Linked DNA regions of Arabidopsis thaliana. The protein of the gene in region 3 interacts with the protein of the main gene of each other region in a pairwise test. Each region holds a gene or a part of one and is shown on either strand. Other genes may lie near its edges.

The links.
Region 1: the proteins of AT1G61420 (region 3) and AT3G18800 interact in a protein complementation assay, tested with the Arabidopsis thaliana proteins (one large-scale study listed by BioGRID).
Region 2: the proteins of AT1G61420 (region 3) and AT2G24250 interact in a protein complementation assay, tested with the Arabidopsis thaliana proteins (one large-scale study listed by BioGRID).

Annotation. Positions count from the first base shown.
Region 1 is NC_003074.8:6,477,931-6,481,089, reverse strand, and holds AT3G18800 (uncharacterized protein), read right to left. Parts: upstream 1,504-3,159; 5' UTR 1,345-1,503; coding exon 751-1,344; 3' UTR 627-750; downstream 1-626. Other genes in the region: PERK6 (Protein kinase superfamily protein), read left to right, coding at 1-12, 99-389; AT3G18790 (pre-mRNA-splicing factor ISY1-like protein), read right to left, coding at 2,335-3,159.
Region 2 is NC_003071.7:10,312,448-10,317,008, reverse strand, and holds AT2G24250 (LOW protein: F-box/kelch-repeat protein (DUF295)), read left to right. Parts: upstream 1-2,028; 5' UTR 2,029-2,150; intron 2,151-2,417; 5' UTR 2,418-2,448; coding exon 2,449-3,573; 3' UTR 3,574-3,943; downstream 3,944-4,561. Other genes in the region: AT2G24255 (LOW protein: F-box/kelch-repeat protein), read left to right, coding at 1-956.
Region 3 is NC_003070.9:22,660,012-22,666,245, reverse strand, and holds AT1G61420 (S-locus lectin protein kinase family protein), read left to right. Parts: upstream 1-2,071; 5' UTR 2,072-2,649; coding exon 2,650-3,904; intron 3,905-4,033; coding exon 4,034-4,144; intron 4,145-4,261; coding exon 4,262-4,431; intron 4,432-4,510; coding exon 4,511-4,721; intron 4,722-4,817; coding exon 4,818-5,055; intron 5,056-5,154; coding exon 5,155-5,305; exon of another isoform or gene 5,306-5,395; coding exon 5,396-5,689; downstream 5,690-6,234. Other genes in the region: AT1G61430 (S-locus lectin protein kinase family protein), read left to right, coding at 204-364, 431-641, 720-957, 1,041-1,191, 1,281-1,577; AT1G61415 (CAP-gly domain linker), read right to left, coding at 5,826-6,012, 6,099-6,192.

The DNA.
Region 1 (3,159 bases), on a different chromosome or scaffold from region 3:
AAGATGAGCCAGGCAAGTTTTACTTTTGAACATGACCACTCTTTTAAACATATACTTTACACCAAGAGAATGATCACTATGGTCCAATGTTAAAACAGATTGTTCGGGCTCTGGAGGGAGATGCAACGCTAGACGATCTAAGCGAAGGAGGGAAAGCGGGACAAAGCTCATTCCTCGGGAGGGGTTCAAGCTCGGACTATGACTCAAGCACTTACAGTGCGGATATGAAGAAGTTCAGGAAAGTGGCATTGGATAGTCATGAGTACGGTGCAAGCAGCGAGTACGGGAACACGAGCGAATACGGGCTTGACCCGTCTTCCTCGAGCAGCGAGGAGATTCGTAGAGGAGGAGCTAACAACAACAAAACCACTCCTAGCCGAGACCATTGATTTAGCTTGTTAGTTTCAAAACAATCTTCCTTGCTGTGTTTTTGTGTTTTGTTTCCCCTATGAATTTTTTTTTTCAACTCTTTTATTCTTTTTGTCACCGTTGGATTTGTGTTTGTGTCTGTGAAAAAAAATTCAAAACTTTTGATTGTGATTAATTGATTTATTAATGCTAATTGTCTGTCTTAATCCCATCTCTCAATCAAGTAATTGACTAGGGCTTCAGTAACCAGATTGAATCAAATGTCAAAGATTCTAACTTTGTTTTATTTCAATCTTCTTGATCATTCTAAAGCTGAGGACTAATGAATAATAAGAAACAGATGGGTTTTGCAAAATTTACGAAAATGCCACTCTAGAGATCTCAGAAACAGAGGATAACGACAGAGAAAGAGATCATGAAAGTGTAAAGAAGGATCAAGAACCCAAAATAGAGAGCCCAATTTCTCTTAAACTTGCCAAAGTAGCTATCAGGTGGTTCTTGATACGGAACTTCCAGATCCCAAGCAGCAGCAGAGGCCTCATCACCGTCGCCTCCACCGAGGAAATCTCCGGCAGCGATTCTTGACTTGATGAAACGGAGCTTGTGAGTGGCGAGACCGAGAGTGAGCTTATGGCAGCGACGCTGGTACTTGAAGCCGTTGATGCAACGGAGAGTTTGAGCGACGGAGACGTAGAAGAAGAGGTGAGAGAAGGATAGGAGGCAGATGGGTGCCCAGCAATGGCGGCAGTGAAGACGACCTGAGGGTTGAGAGAGGGAGAAGAAGATTACGGCGAGGAAGATGAAGAAGAGCTGAAATAGCTTGTGGAGCTTCTTCTTCTGGTGGTCAATGGCTCGTTTCTTCTCTAAGGTTTTCTCGAAGTGGAGCTGGATTATTGAGTTTAGTGCTTGTAGAGCAGTTTCTTTGGGGATGAAAGGTTGGTTATTCTGGTCAATTTCGTCGTCGTAGTCCGCCATTGAAGGACTGAGAAGAGAGAAAAAGTGTTATTGGTTAGAGAGATGGTTTGGGGATTGTGTGTAGGAACATGTGGGTGTGGTTCGTATCTCTAGACAAGTATTATCCATCTCAACGGTCTTGTTCTGATTTTTGATGTTTTGTCCGTACTCAATAAATATTTTACTGGGAGTAAAATCAAAACCAGAAAAATGCTTGTGGTTGGTCTCAACTTATGTCTCTGCATAGCACCAATCTAGTTAGAGCCAAAGGAACAATGTATAAACCTCAGGCAATGAGCATTACATTCAGAAGTATAAAGATACAAAAGTCGAGCTACATAATAGAATACACTAGTTCAGTTCCAAGTGACATTGTATCTTCTCCTTGAGTCTTTCACATTTGTTTCCATGAAATCATATTTCAAACGCCCAACATCGTTTCTTCTTTAGGCAAGAGACCATCGCGGCTGAGTTTGTTGGTAAAACAGAGCATCTGAGAAGCATAGAGATGATGTATCAGCCTCTCAGATTCAATTCAAGAGAAGATATAATACGAATTCCTTCGCATCCTAATGCATGCCACTAAGGCACTAACTAAAGTATGTCCCATTGAAATAACAGTTTCTGCAAATCTAAGCTCCACATACAAGGGTACTAGGTCAATTACTCAGGTCAGTGAAACTCTTGATTAATGAAGCAAGAATGTACGTTGTTGTTATAGATTGATCGCGCTTTATGACATTACTCGACAGAAGCCTTATCATACTCTCAAACAGACCAGGACTACTAAGGAAATATAAATCAAGATCTAGCAAATTCTCTAAGATCATAATCTAGGATGTAATAATATAAGAAACATCAACAAATTTTTAGAATTCCTCTAATCGAAATTTCTTAAAACACACAGCAGTTCAGTCAATTTTCTGATCAAAAACTGCAAAAGAAACTACAGACAATAAAATTATACTATGATATGATTAAAAAGCCTTACAAGAAGAGATGATCACCTTTCTATCTATGAATATTGAGCATGGATTTAGCCTCAGTCTGCTGCTCAACCAAATCTTCACTAGCATACTTACTAAGCAGATCCATCTTCTTCTTCTCCAACACCATCTTCTCAATCTCCTTCTCATCAGGCAACGGAACATGAACCACAAATTCCCTCTCTTTCTCCTCCTCTTTCTCCCTCTCCATCCTCTCCTCCTCAACAACATCCTCCTCCTCCTCAAACAACACTTCCCTCGCCGCAGCAGCTGCAGCTCCAACACTCACAACCTCACTAGCACCTTTCCTAGCTTCCTTCCTAACCTCATCTAATCTCCGCCACTCCTCCACCGATCTTTTCCTCATCCCTCCTTCAGATTTCCTCTCCAACTTCTCCAAAATACCATCTTCATCATCTCTATACCCATAATAGCTAGCATCAATCCTTTTATATATATCATACCTAGTTTTACGCTTCCTCAGCTCAGGAGGCTTCTCAAAAAGCTCTCTAACACCAGGAAGTTTCTTAGCAGCTCCGAAGTAACGATAACCAGGACCACGACCACTAGGGTTAGGTACATCGATTATGTTACCTTCTAGATCCGTCATCTTCGCCGAATGTTTCGAGTAATTGTGACCACCTAGCTCAACGATTCGCCGCTCCCAATGATATCTCTCCCTGAGAAGCTTGTTAATCTCATCGTTTAGATCTCGAAGTCTGTGCTCTCCTAATCCTTCGTTCTGAATCTCAGCTACTTTGCTACCGATCTCTCTCAAAATTTGCTGTCTCCATTTGTCTGCTTCAGCTAGATCTCTACATTCTGATGCGAGGTAAGGTCGACGCTCTTT
Region 2 (4,561 bases), on a different chromosome or scaffold from region 3:
CTGAGCTCCCTGAGGAGCTACTGTATCTTGAAGTATCTAGGGGACAACTGTTTCGATGTTGTTCATGCTCGCTCTGTTTGCAGCTTGTGGCGATCCACATTTCCTTTGTCTCCCTTGTTACGCCCAAGTTACTCTCTTCCCTCGTTCAACGAATTCCCTTCAGAAAGCAAAAACATGTGCACCCTCGAGAAGGTCCATCTCCTGATATTGCTGATGATCAGCTTTCCGATGCTCTTCAATGTTTAGTGAACGTGAAGATCCCAGCATCTATTCCAAAAAAGATCATCCCTTTGGGCCATAAGTACAGAATGATCGGTTGGGAATATAATCGCGCGACTTTTCTTCGGCTAGACAAGGAGGGAAGAAGAGGAGAATTTGTTGTGCTTCTCGAAGTCTCTGACACTTTGCTGGTGTTAACAAGTGCTGAAATGAGGTGGAAGCAGCTTGAGAACGTCCCATATACTATATGCGTTGATATAGTCACTTTTAGAGGCAGATTTTATGCACTTTTTCTTTCAGGACAAATCGTCGTTATCGATCCTTATTCGCTGGAGGTGACTCTTCTGTTGTCCTCACCTCAGGACCCGCGAGAATTACGGTCTCTGGTTCCATATGGCAAAGATGAACTTTTCCTGGTTGAGGTAATCATCCCAAATGATGTTGTAATAGACTTTAGTCGGTTAGCTCGTAGAGTGAGGAGGGTAGATGAGAAGGCTGGTAAATGGGTTGAGGTCGGTGATTTGGGAGACTGTGTATTGTTACTTGGAAATCTCTCTTGCTCGGCTAAGGAATTTCCTCGGGGTTTTGGTTTGACTGAGAACGCAGTTTTGTTCGGCGATCAGTCAGGCAATGCATTTTTATACTATAAACAAAGTGCGGTAAAAGATCTCAAGGGAGAATCGTGTGATGATACTCAACCATTTTTTCCGGTTATGGCTCTCCATGAAGACTGCTAGGCAGTAAAATCCTGCTTTAGAGAAATAAAAACATAAATTCCTATCATATTTTTAGGTATGGATTTTGTGATATCTCATGTTACCCATTGTTGGATCACTGGTATTTAATGTTGAAGTTAAATCTCAGTTCTGAGTTCTTATAACTTTTTTTCGTCATCATGATCTTTTTGAACAATTTGACACTGTCCAAAACTGAAACGTTTAGCCACGATATAGAAACTCTTTTCTTGGTCACTGATCTTTTATTGTGTGCTGCCTTGTGCAGTTTAAAAATCTTGCTACTTGAATGGAACTGGCGCTTGATGACGACGATATGGACTAAATGTAGGAAAACTACATTGCTTTTGACCGTGTAGCTCCCGAAGACTTCCTCAATAAAGCAATGGCTGATTACTCTAGCTCGTTGATATTTCCCTGGAGTCTTTGATTTTTCTCGACGTTTAAGTTAGCTTTTCCATCTTTTTAACATATTATACCGATGTCATTTTGAATGAGAATATAGCTTTTAAGTGGAATAGAGAGGGTAGACATTTGTTTTTTCAAAGTGATGAAAAGAAGTGAACTAGATTCTTTAAAGATCAGAGCATATCCACTGTGGTAGCTCACATACTAATACTGTTACGCCAGAACTTTCCCAGAGAGTGTCAATGAGAAAAGAAAATTCCTTCCAAAAGCTAAAGCTAAGTTCTTGAAATCATCTTTAAAGGAAAATGAAACTTACTTCTATAGTTAGCCTAGGGAGTTTCATTGATGGGGTTACCAAGCTCTGTGTTATTTCATTAATGTTGCGTACTAGCGTTTATTAACCGTTCCAAAAACAAGAACTCACATCACTTTACGAGTTCCTAAGATTCAAACCGATCGAAGATACCTCTTGGCAAATCAGTATCAAAAATATTCTTGGGTACAGAGGAGAGAAACAAGAGTACAAAACAATCAACAGAACGAAGAAAAGAAACATAACAACAACATAATGCAAAAACGACGTCATCTCAAGTCTATCCGAAAACCAAAGTCTTAACCGGCTCATTTGATATAAACCGTCTCAATCCCTTCGGTTCTTTGCTTTCCCAATCAATCCAACCCCAAACCAAATTCGCTCTAAATCTTAACTAGTCTCTATCCCCATTTGTCGACGCTACGAAAGGGCTCTGAAGAATCTGCAGGAAGCTCCAACTTTTTCTCCAAGTTACGGTACTACTACGACCTATCTCTTTAATCCCTGCGAATATTCTATAATGAACTGTGAATTTTCTGTTACCAACTTTTAGTTTTTCCTGTGGCAAATTGATCAAACCCAGAATTGATTATGACCTTTGGAGCTTCAGTGAAATCAATTTTTTCCTGTTGGGTTTTATTTTCCAAGAATGAACTGAGAATTTTCTAAAAATGGAAGAGTTGGATCGTTTCAGCAATTTCATCAAACCCCTAAAAAAAAGTTGTAAATTTTCGAAATTGCAGCAGTAAATTTCTGTGTTCTTCAGCAGCAAGCATGGCAATGAAAAAGAAGATATCAACATCATCGATAATGCCAGACTGGTCTCAGCTCCCTGAAGAGCTACTTCACATTATCTCAACGCATCTAGAGGATCACTATTTCGATGCTGTTCATGCCCGCTCTGTTTGCCGCTCATGGCGATCCACATTTCCATTTCCTTCTTCTCTATTACGCCAAAGTTACTCTCTTCCCGCTTTCCCTTTAGAAAGCAAAGACTTGTGCTGCACCCTGGAGAAGGTCCCTTTGTTCCTCTTTAGAGTTCTAACTCCTCCTGATGCTGCTGATGCTTCCTCCGAATATTTTCTGGGAGGATTAGGCCAAGATAAGTCAAATGATCATGTGGAGCTTCCATCTCCTCTTCAGTGCTCAGTGAAAGTCAATGTTCCAGGAACTGAGCCAATTTTGATGAACATGCTTGACTGCCAGATCATCCCTCTGGGCCATAAGTACAGATTGATGATCGGTTGCAATCCTGAAGAATACAGTGCAGCTTTTCTTCCGCTAAACGAACAAGGAGGAGGAGGCGAATTCGTTGCGCTCCTCGACTGCACTGATTTGTTTTTGGTGTTAAGAAGTACTGAAATGAGATGGATTCGGCTTGAGAAACCCTCAACTGCTTCATGTAAGGAGTTATTCACTTTTAGAGGAAGGTTCTATGCAACTTTCTTTAATGGGGACACGTTCGTTATCGATCCTTCTTCGCTGGAAGCGACTCCCCTAACACCTCATATCGACTCCAACTTTCTGGTTCCATCTGGCAATGAGGAGCTTTTCCTGGTTAAGACAGACTTCCTAAGATGTAGAGTAAGTAGGCTAGATGAGGAGGCTGCTGAATGGGTTGAGGTCAGCGATTTGGGAGACCGTGTTTTGTTTCTTGGTGGACACCTGGGGAATTTCTACTGCTCCGCTAAGGAGCTTCCTCATGGTTGTGGTTTGACTGGGGACTCGATTTTGTTCACCGTTGGGTCACGCAATGTAACTTACCCCTATAAATATGGAGTACATACAAATAAAAGAAAGGCTGAAGACAATATCAATTGTTGGAGATCCTCAAGGGAGAATCGTGTGTTGTTCCGCAACAGATATGATCCGGTCCTGTCTTTCCGGGTTGAACGCTAGGCCGCAAATTCTCACTTCAGACTGTTATTCTGTTTTTATTAGATCAAAGGCTATGTTTTCCTTTGATTTTAAGTCTAGATTTTGTGTACTTGAAAACTCGAACTATACATGATCTCTAGCAAATGTGCAATGGTCTATTGTAGTTAGTCTAGAAAGATTTGTTGGTAACCAGCTATGTTCTTATCAAACTTGTTGCAGGCATAGCAGCAATGTCGTCCCCTTATGCCATACCCTCATACAACTACTATTCTTGCTTTTATTCTGTTAAGAGCTTTTTGATCGTTGTATATTGCTACTACATTTTGGTTTGAAGTAGTGGTGCATGTGTTGCATAGTCCGTAGGTAAAACTGGTCCGAAAGCGGTAAACAGGATCACTTCGTTGTTAGTTTGTATCCTTGGGATAGTGAAGATCTTGACAGTTGGTACGTTTGAGTTTTGTATCAAATTTAAGCCTTTTCTGTGATTCAGGGAAGCTTTCAAGAAAGAAGGTGATAATCAGGAAAACTACATTGCTTTTGACTACTCGAGCTGATTGTACTTGCCTTGAGGGAGTCTTTGATTTTCTCAACGGTTAGGTAAGCTTTTCCATCTTTTTTTTTAACATATCAGATTTCCAATATTCTTGAATGAGAATATAGCTTTTAAGAATGGAAATGGAACAGAGAGGGTAGAGACTGATTTTGCAAAGTGATGGTAAGAAGTGAACTAGATTCTTTAAAGGTCAGAGCTTATCCAATGTGGTAGCTCACATTGTTATGCCACAAACTTTCCCGGAAAGTGTAAATGAGAAAAGAAAATTCCTTCCAAAAACTAAAAGCTAAAATCTTGAATCTTTAAGGAAAAGCGAAATGAAGATATAAACTTTAACTGCCCCCAAAAGACAGTAGCAGTTGCAACCACTCACATGTACTAAGGTAACGAATCCTCAAAAAACCTTAAAGAAGCTGAGGTTGAGATTTTGGACCACCATGGAAACAGCTTAGTAAG
Region 3 (6,234 bases):
CACTGTTCATCTAATCATTTGGTTGTCAATAAAATTGCTCTGTTACATTTGTTATAAGATATCGTTAAATAAAAAGGTGTTTTTTCCACTACTAAATTGACTGACTTGTATATTATTTTTCTGGTACATTGGTTTCGGCCTGTTTTAAAAACTCTGAATATACTCACTTGGCACTGACACACATATTCTAACCCATATTTTAGCTCATATATCAAACGATGCATGGAGGAATTTTCTGCAATCACAAGACGTCCCAGGTTTAGAATTTTTTGAGATGAATGCCATACAAACTGCCACCAATAATTTCAGTCTATCAAACAAACTCGGTCCTGGTGGATTTGGTTCTGTTTACAAGGCGAGAAACGTTTTATCCTCTTTGCTCTTTTTCTTTTCTGTCATTTCTTGACATGACATTTGCAACTTGTTTCAGGGAAAACTGCAAGATGGAAGAGAAATTGCGGTAAAACGTCTTTCTAGCAGCTCTGGGCAGGGCAAACAGGAGTTCATGAATGAAATAGTACTGATATCAAAACTCCAACACAGAAACTTAGTCCGGGTTTTGGGATGCTGCGTCGAAGGAACAGAGAAGCTATTGATTTATGGGTTCTTGAAAAACAAAAGCCTGGATACTTTTGTCTTTGGTGGGTCACTTCTTACCCCTTTCGTGTAGTTTTCCCCTTTATATCTGGAATTTCTTATCTGATAGCTTGTATACTTAGATGCAAGAAAAAAGCTCGAACTTGATTGGCCAAAGAGATTTGAGATCATTGAAGGTATTGCACGTGGACTTCTCTATCTCCACCGTGACTCACGCCTCAGAGTAATTCACCGAGACCTGAAGGTCAGCAACATTCTTCTGGATGAGAAAATGAACCCGAAAATATCAGATTTTGGTTTGGCTCGGATGTTTCAGGGAACCCAATATCAGGAAAAAACTCGCAGGGTTGTCGGAACTCTGTAAGAACCATCCCTTGATAACATATTAAACTAGATTGGTAGTCATATATTAAATTGGGTGAAACTATTTGATCTTTGAACAGAGGATATATGTCTCCTGAGTATGCATGGACTGGCGTATTCTCTGAGAAATCCGATATCTACAGTTTCGGAGTTCTGTTGTTAGAAATCATCAGCGGAAAGAAGATCTCAAGTTTCAGCTATGGCGAGGAGGGAAAAGCACTTCTTGCATATGTTAGTAAGACTTTATGTTTTCATGCATTTGCAGAGGTTGCAAAAGGTTTGTTGCTTTGATATTCTTAAGAGTGGAAACTGAAAAACAGGCATGGGAATGTTGGTGTGAAACCCGAGAAGTTAATTTTTTGGACCAAGCTCTTGCTGATTCTAGTCACCCATCTGAAGTTGGAAGGTGTGTACAGATTGGTTTGCTCTGTGTTCAACACGAGCCTGCAGACAGACCAAACACACTTGAGTTGCTGTCTATGCTTACCACAACATCAGATCTTCCTCTGCCCAAAAAACCCACATTTGTAGTGCACACTAGAAAAGACGAATCACCGTCAAATGATTCGATGATCACTGTCAATGAGATGACAGAGTCTGTGATCCAAGGACGTTGAAACTGTAGAATTGGAATTATTCTCTATAAGGATCAAAATTTCTAATGGTTGTAAAATTACATCCCTTCCTTTATTATTCAGAAACTTTTTATCTATGTGGAAACTGTTTGGTAAAATTGACTAAGGTATATTTTATTAGGCATGATTACATGATTCCACTTCCCACTAAATTGACAAAATACTTTGCTCAAAAACAAATCGTTGACTCTACTTCATTTTAAGACTTCCCGGGAGATTATTCTCGGGCCTAGTGGCACACCAATGTTGACTGTTGAATTCTTCGGTTCTTTTGGACAGAAACAGTTAAGCCCATATGGTTGGAGTTGGGAATCAGTCGATTAGGGTCATTACGGGTCTAACGACATTAGCGAGGCTCGGAGGTTTTTTTTATGCACTGCAAGTGTTCGAGGAAATGTCTAAACGAGATAAAACATAGCCTGCATTTCAAGAAAGTTATTGTGTTGTAATGGTGAAGCAAGGATTGGATTCTTTCGATTGATGCAGAACTAATAAGGACTTGAACAATGACAACGTTGCGTATCTGATTGGGTAAGGACTTCTTCGTGCCAATCTATCATGTATGCATTGTTTCTATTATTGATGCAGAGCTAATAAGGACTTGGAATTGTCTCCCACTCATTCACGTTGTTATTTGTTTAGTGAGCAGTTACTTTCTGAACACCTTTTTTGTGTATTTAAGTAAATGATTGTCTTTGAATGGAATAGAAGAAAATTTGCAGTAACTTATTCTAAAGTCTTTGATAACCAAAGTCTTCTTCTTTTTGTTCTTGATAGCATTGAACAATGACAACGTTGCGTATCTGATTGGGTAAGGACTTATTCGTGCTTTGACACTTTTGTTCTCTATTATCAAATAACGCATGATTTTTGGAACATTAGTAAAGATTATTAAATAACGCATGATTTTTGTTCTGTATTATTCTCACAAGTCAGTCCCTGAGTTGACAAAACAAAAAATGTGCAAAGAGAGTTTTTTTTTTTTTTTTTCTTGCTTTCTCGCTTTATGTAAAGCTAATCTAAAAAAGATAGTTTTTGGAGAGAAATAACAAATATGGGGAAGAAGTGGATCGTGTTCTTTGCTTATTTGCTCTTATCTAGCTTCTTTATAAGTTCTAGCTCTGCAGGGATAACGAAAGAAAGTCCTTTGCCAATAGGACAAACTCTCAGCTCCTCTAATGGTTTTTATGAACTGGGGTTCTTCAATTTTAATAACTCCCAGAATCAGTATGTCGGAATCTGGTTCAAGGGTATTATTCCCCGGGTGGTTGTGTGGGTGGCCAATAGAGAAAAGCCTGTTACAGATTCCACGGCAAATCTCGCTATCAGCAACAATGGAAGTCTTCTGTTATTTAATGGCAAACATGGCGTTGCATGGTCCAGTGGAGAAGCTCTTGTTTCTAACGGGTCTCGTGCAGAGCTTTCAGACACCGGAAATCTTATTGTCATAGACAATTTTTCGGGAAGAACTCTATGGCAAAGCTTTGACCATCTTGGTGATACTATGCTTCCTTCCTCAACCCTGAAGTATAACCTCGCCACTGGCGAGAAGCAGGTGTTGAGTTCTTGGAAAAGTTACACTGATCCATCGGTTGGCGACTTTGTGCTTCAGATTACGCCACAAGTGCCAACGCAGGTGCTTGTTACGAAAGGATCAACGCCTTATTATAGAAGCGGTCCATGGGCTAAAACAAGGTTCACGGGGATACCGCTAATGGATGACACATTTACAGGTCCAGTCAGCGTTCAGCAGGATACAAATGGGTCAGGATCTCTCACTTATTTAAACAGAAACGATAGACTTCAACGTACAATGCTAACATCAAAGGGCACACAGGAGTTGTCTTGGCATAATGGGACGGACTGGGTATTGAACTTTGTGGCTCCAGAACACTCATGTGATTACTACGGTGTATGTGGACCTTTTGGGTTATGTGTGAAGTCTGTTCCTCCAAAATGTACGTGTTTCAAAGGGTTTGTTCCTAAACTCATTGAGGAGTGGAAAAGAGGAAACTGGACTGGTGGTTGTGTGAGGCGTACCGAACTATATTGTCAAGGAAACTCTACTGGCAAATATGCAAACGTGTTCCATCCTGTTGCCAGGATAAAGCCTCCAGACTTTTACGAATTTGCAAGTTTTGTGAATGTTGAAGAATGCCAGAAAAGTTGCCTCCACAATTGTTCTTGCTTGGCCTTTGCTTATATCGATGGAATTGGGTGCTTAATGTGGAACCAAGACCTAATGGACGCAGTGCAATTTTCTGAAGGAGGAGAACTTCTCTCCATTCGTCTGGCACGTTCTGAACTAGGTATGGCGCTCAAATGATTACACGGAAGAATTACTTCGTTTACAACTTTATCTACAACTCCATTGATACTCTTCTTACCGGAAGCAGCATGGCTTATTGTTTAATTTGTTTTTGTCTTATATGTCACAGGTGGAAATAAGCGCAAGAAGGCCATTACTGCTAGTATTGTGAGCCTTTCTCTTGTTGTGATAATTGCGTTTGTTGCGTTTTGTTTCTGGAGATATAGAGTGAAACATAATGGTAAAAACTGATGATCTTACTCCCTCTCTATTGATTTCTTTTCTTTATTTACAGTACTCATTTTCTTGCTATTGGTAAGACACTGATGACCTATATTATCTATAATTGAAACACTAGTTTCAGCTGATATAACAACGGATGCTTCACAAGTTTCATGGAGGAATGATCTGAAACCACAAGATGTCCCAGGTTTAGATTTCTTTGATATGCATACCATTCAAACTGCCACCAATAATTTCAGTATATCAAACAAACTCGGACAAGGTGGATTTGGCCCTGTTTATAAGGTTAGAGAATTTTTAACCTCTTTGCTCTTTTCTATTCTTTGCTTATGCTCTCCAGATGACCTTATGCAATGTGTTTCAGGGTAAGCTGCAAGATGGGAAAGAAATTGCTGTAAAACGGCTTTCTAGCAGCTCGGGCCAGGGCAAAGAGGAGTTCATGAATGAAATAGTACTCATCTCAAAACTACAACATAAAAACTTAGTTCGGATTTTGGGATGTTGCATTGAAGGAGAAGAGAAGCTATTGATTTATGAGTTCATGTTGAACAATAGCCTTGATACCTTTCTCTTCGGTGGGTTCCTTCTTGCTTCATTCCTTTACTATCAGCAACTTTTTCTCTACATGGAACTGTCTTATCTGATTGTTCATACTCTATATTGTCGCTTAGATTCAAGAAAAAGGCTTGAGATTGACTGGCCAAAGAGATTGGATATCATTCAAGGTATTGCGCGTGGAATTCACTATCTCCATCGTGACTCACACCTCAAGGTTATTCACCGAGATCTGAAGGTTAGCAATATTCTTCTTGACGAGAAGATGAATCCAAAGATATCAGATTTTGGATTGGCTCGGATGTATCAGGGAACCGAATATCAGGACAATACTCGCAGGGTTGTAGGAACTCTGTAAGACTCTATTTTCCATAACATTGTTAACAAGATTCATAGTCATAAACTCATAATCGTTTATTAAACATTGGGTGAAACTATTCGATGTTCGCACAGAGGATATATGGCTCCTGAGTATGCATGGACTGGGATGTTTTCTGAAAAGTCCGACATCTATAGCTTTGGAGTTCTAATGTTAGAAATCATAAGCGGGGAGAAGATCTCAAGATTCAGCTATGGCAAAGAAGAAAAAACCCTTATTGCATATGTAAGTACAACTTTTAGGTATTCATACAGTTGCAAATGTCTCAAAACGTTTCTTGCTTTTATATTCTTAAGACCTGAATCTGAACAACAGGCGTGGGAATCTTGGTGTGATACTGGAGGAATTGATCTCTTGGACAAAGATGTCGCCGATTCATGTCGCCCACTGGAAGTTGAGAGATGTGTTCAGATCGGTCTGCTCTGTGTTCAACACCAACCTGCAGATAGACCCAACACACTTGAGTTGCTGTCTATGCTCACCACAACATCAGATCTTCCACCACCAGAACAACCGACATTTGTAGTGCACAGGAGAGATGACAAATCATCGTCTGAGGATTTGATCACTGTGAATGAGATGACAAAGTCTGTGATCTTAGGGCGTTAAGAAATGATGTTTGATCTTAGGGCGTTGATAACAAACTTCACCTTTTATTCTTTTTGTAACATATTTTTTGTATACATGAACCTCCATTCTGGTGCACCAATGATCCATGGTGTTGAAGATAATGTGACCAGAAACACTAATCAGATAATAGATTCATCATTTCATCTTCCATGTAAGCCAAAATAGAGTTCTTCACATCTAAGTTCTTCTCCTCCAACATCCGAACTTCGTTGTCGAGAAACTCTCTTTCCAACAATAAATTCCTGAATTCACTGTCTTCAATCTCCCTTTGAAACCCAAAACACATCTTCACAAAACCTTCCCTGTGTAAAAAAATTCCATAAGCAATGCTTTATCAATCAGAGGATCAAGAACACAAATGCTTGTTTACAACACAATCGATGTTTACCGCTTCTCGGTTAGTCTTGTAATTAGCTCACTATGCTCATTTCTCAAACGACAAATCTCATCCTCCAATAGCTTCAGAGAGTTTCTTGAATCAGCTTTAAGAAAATAAAACATAGTGATAGAGATTTAACAACACA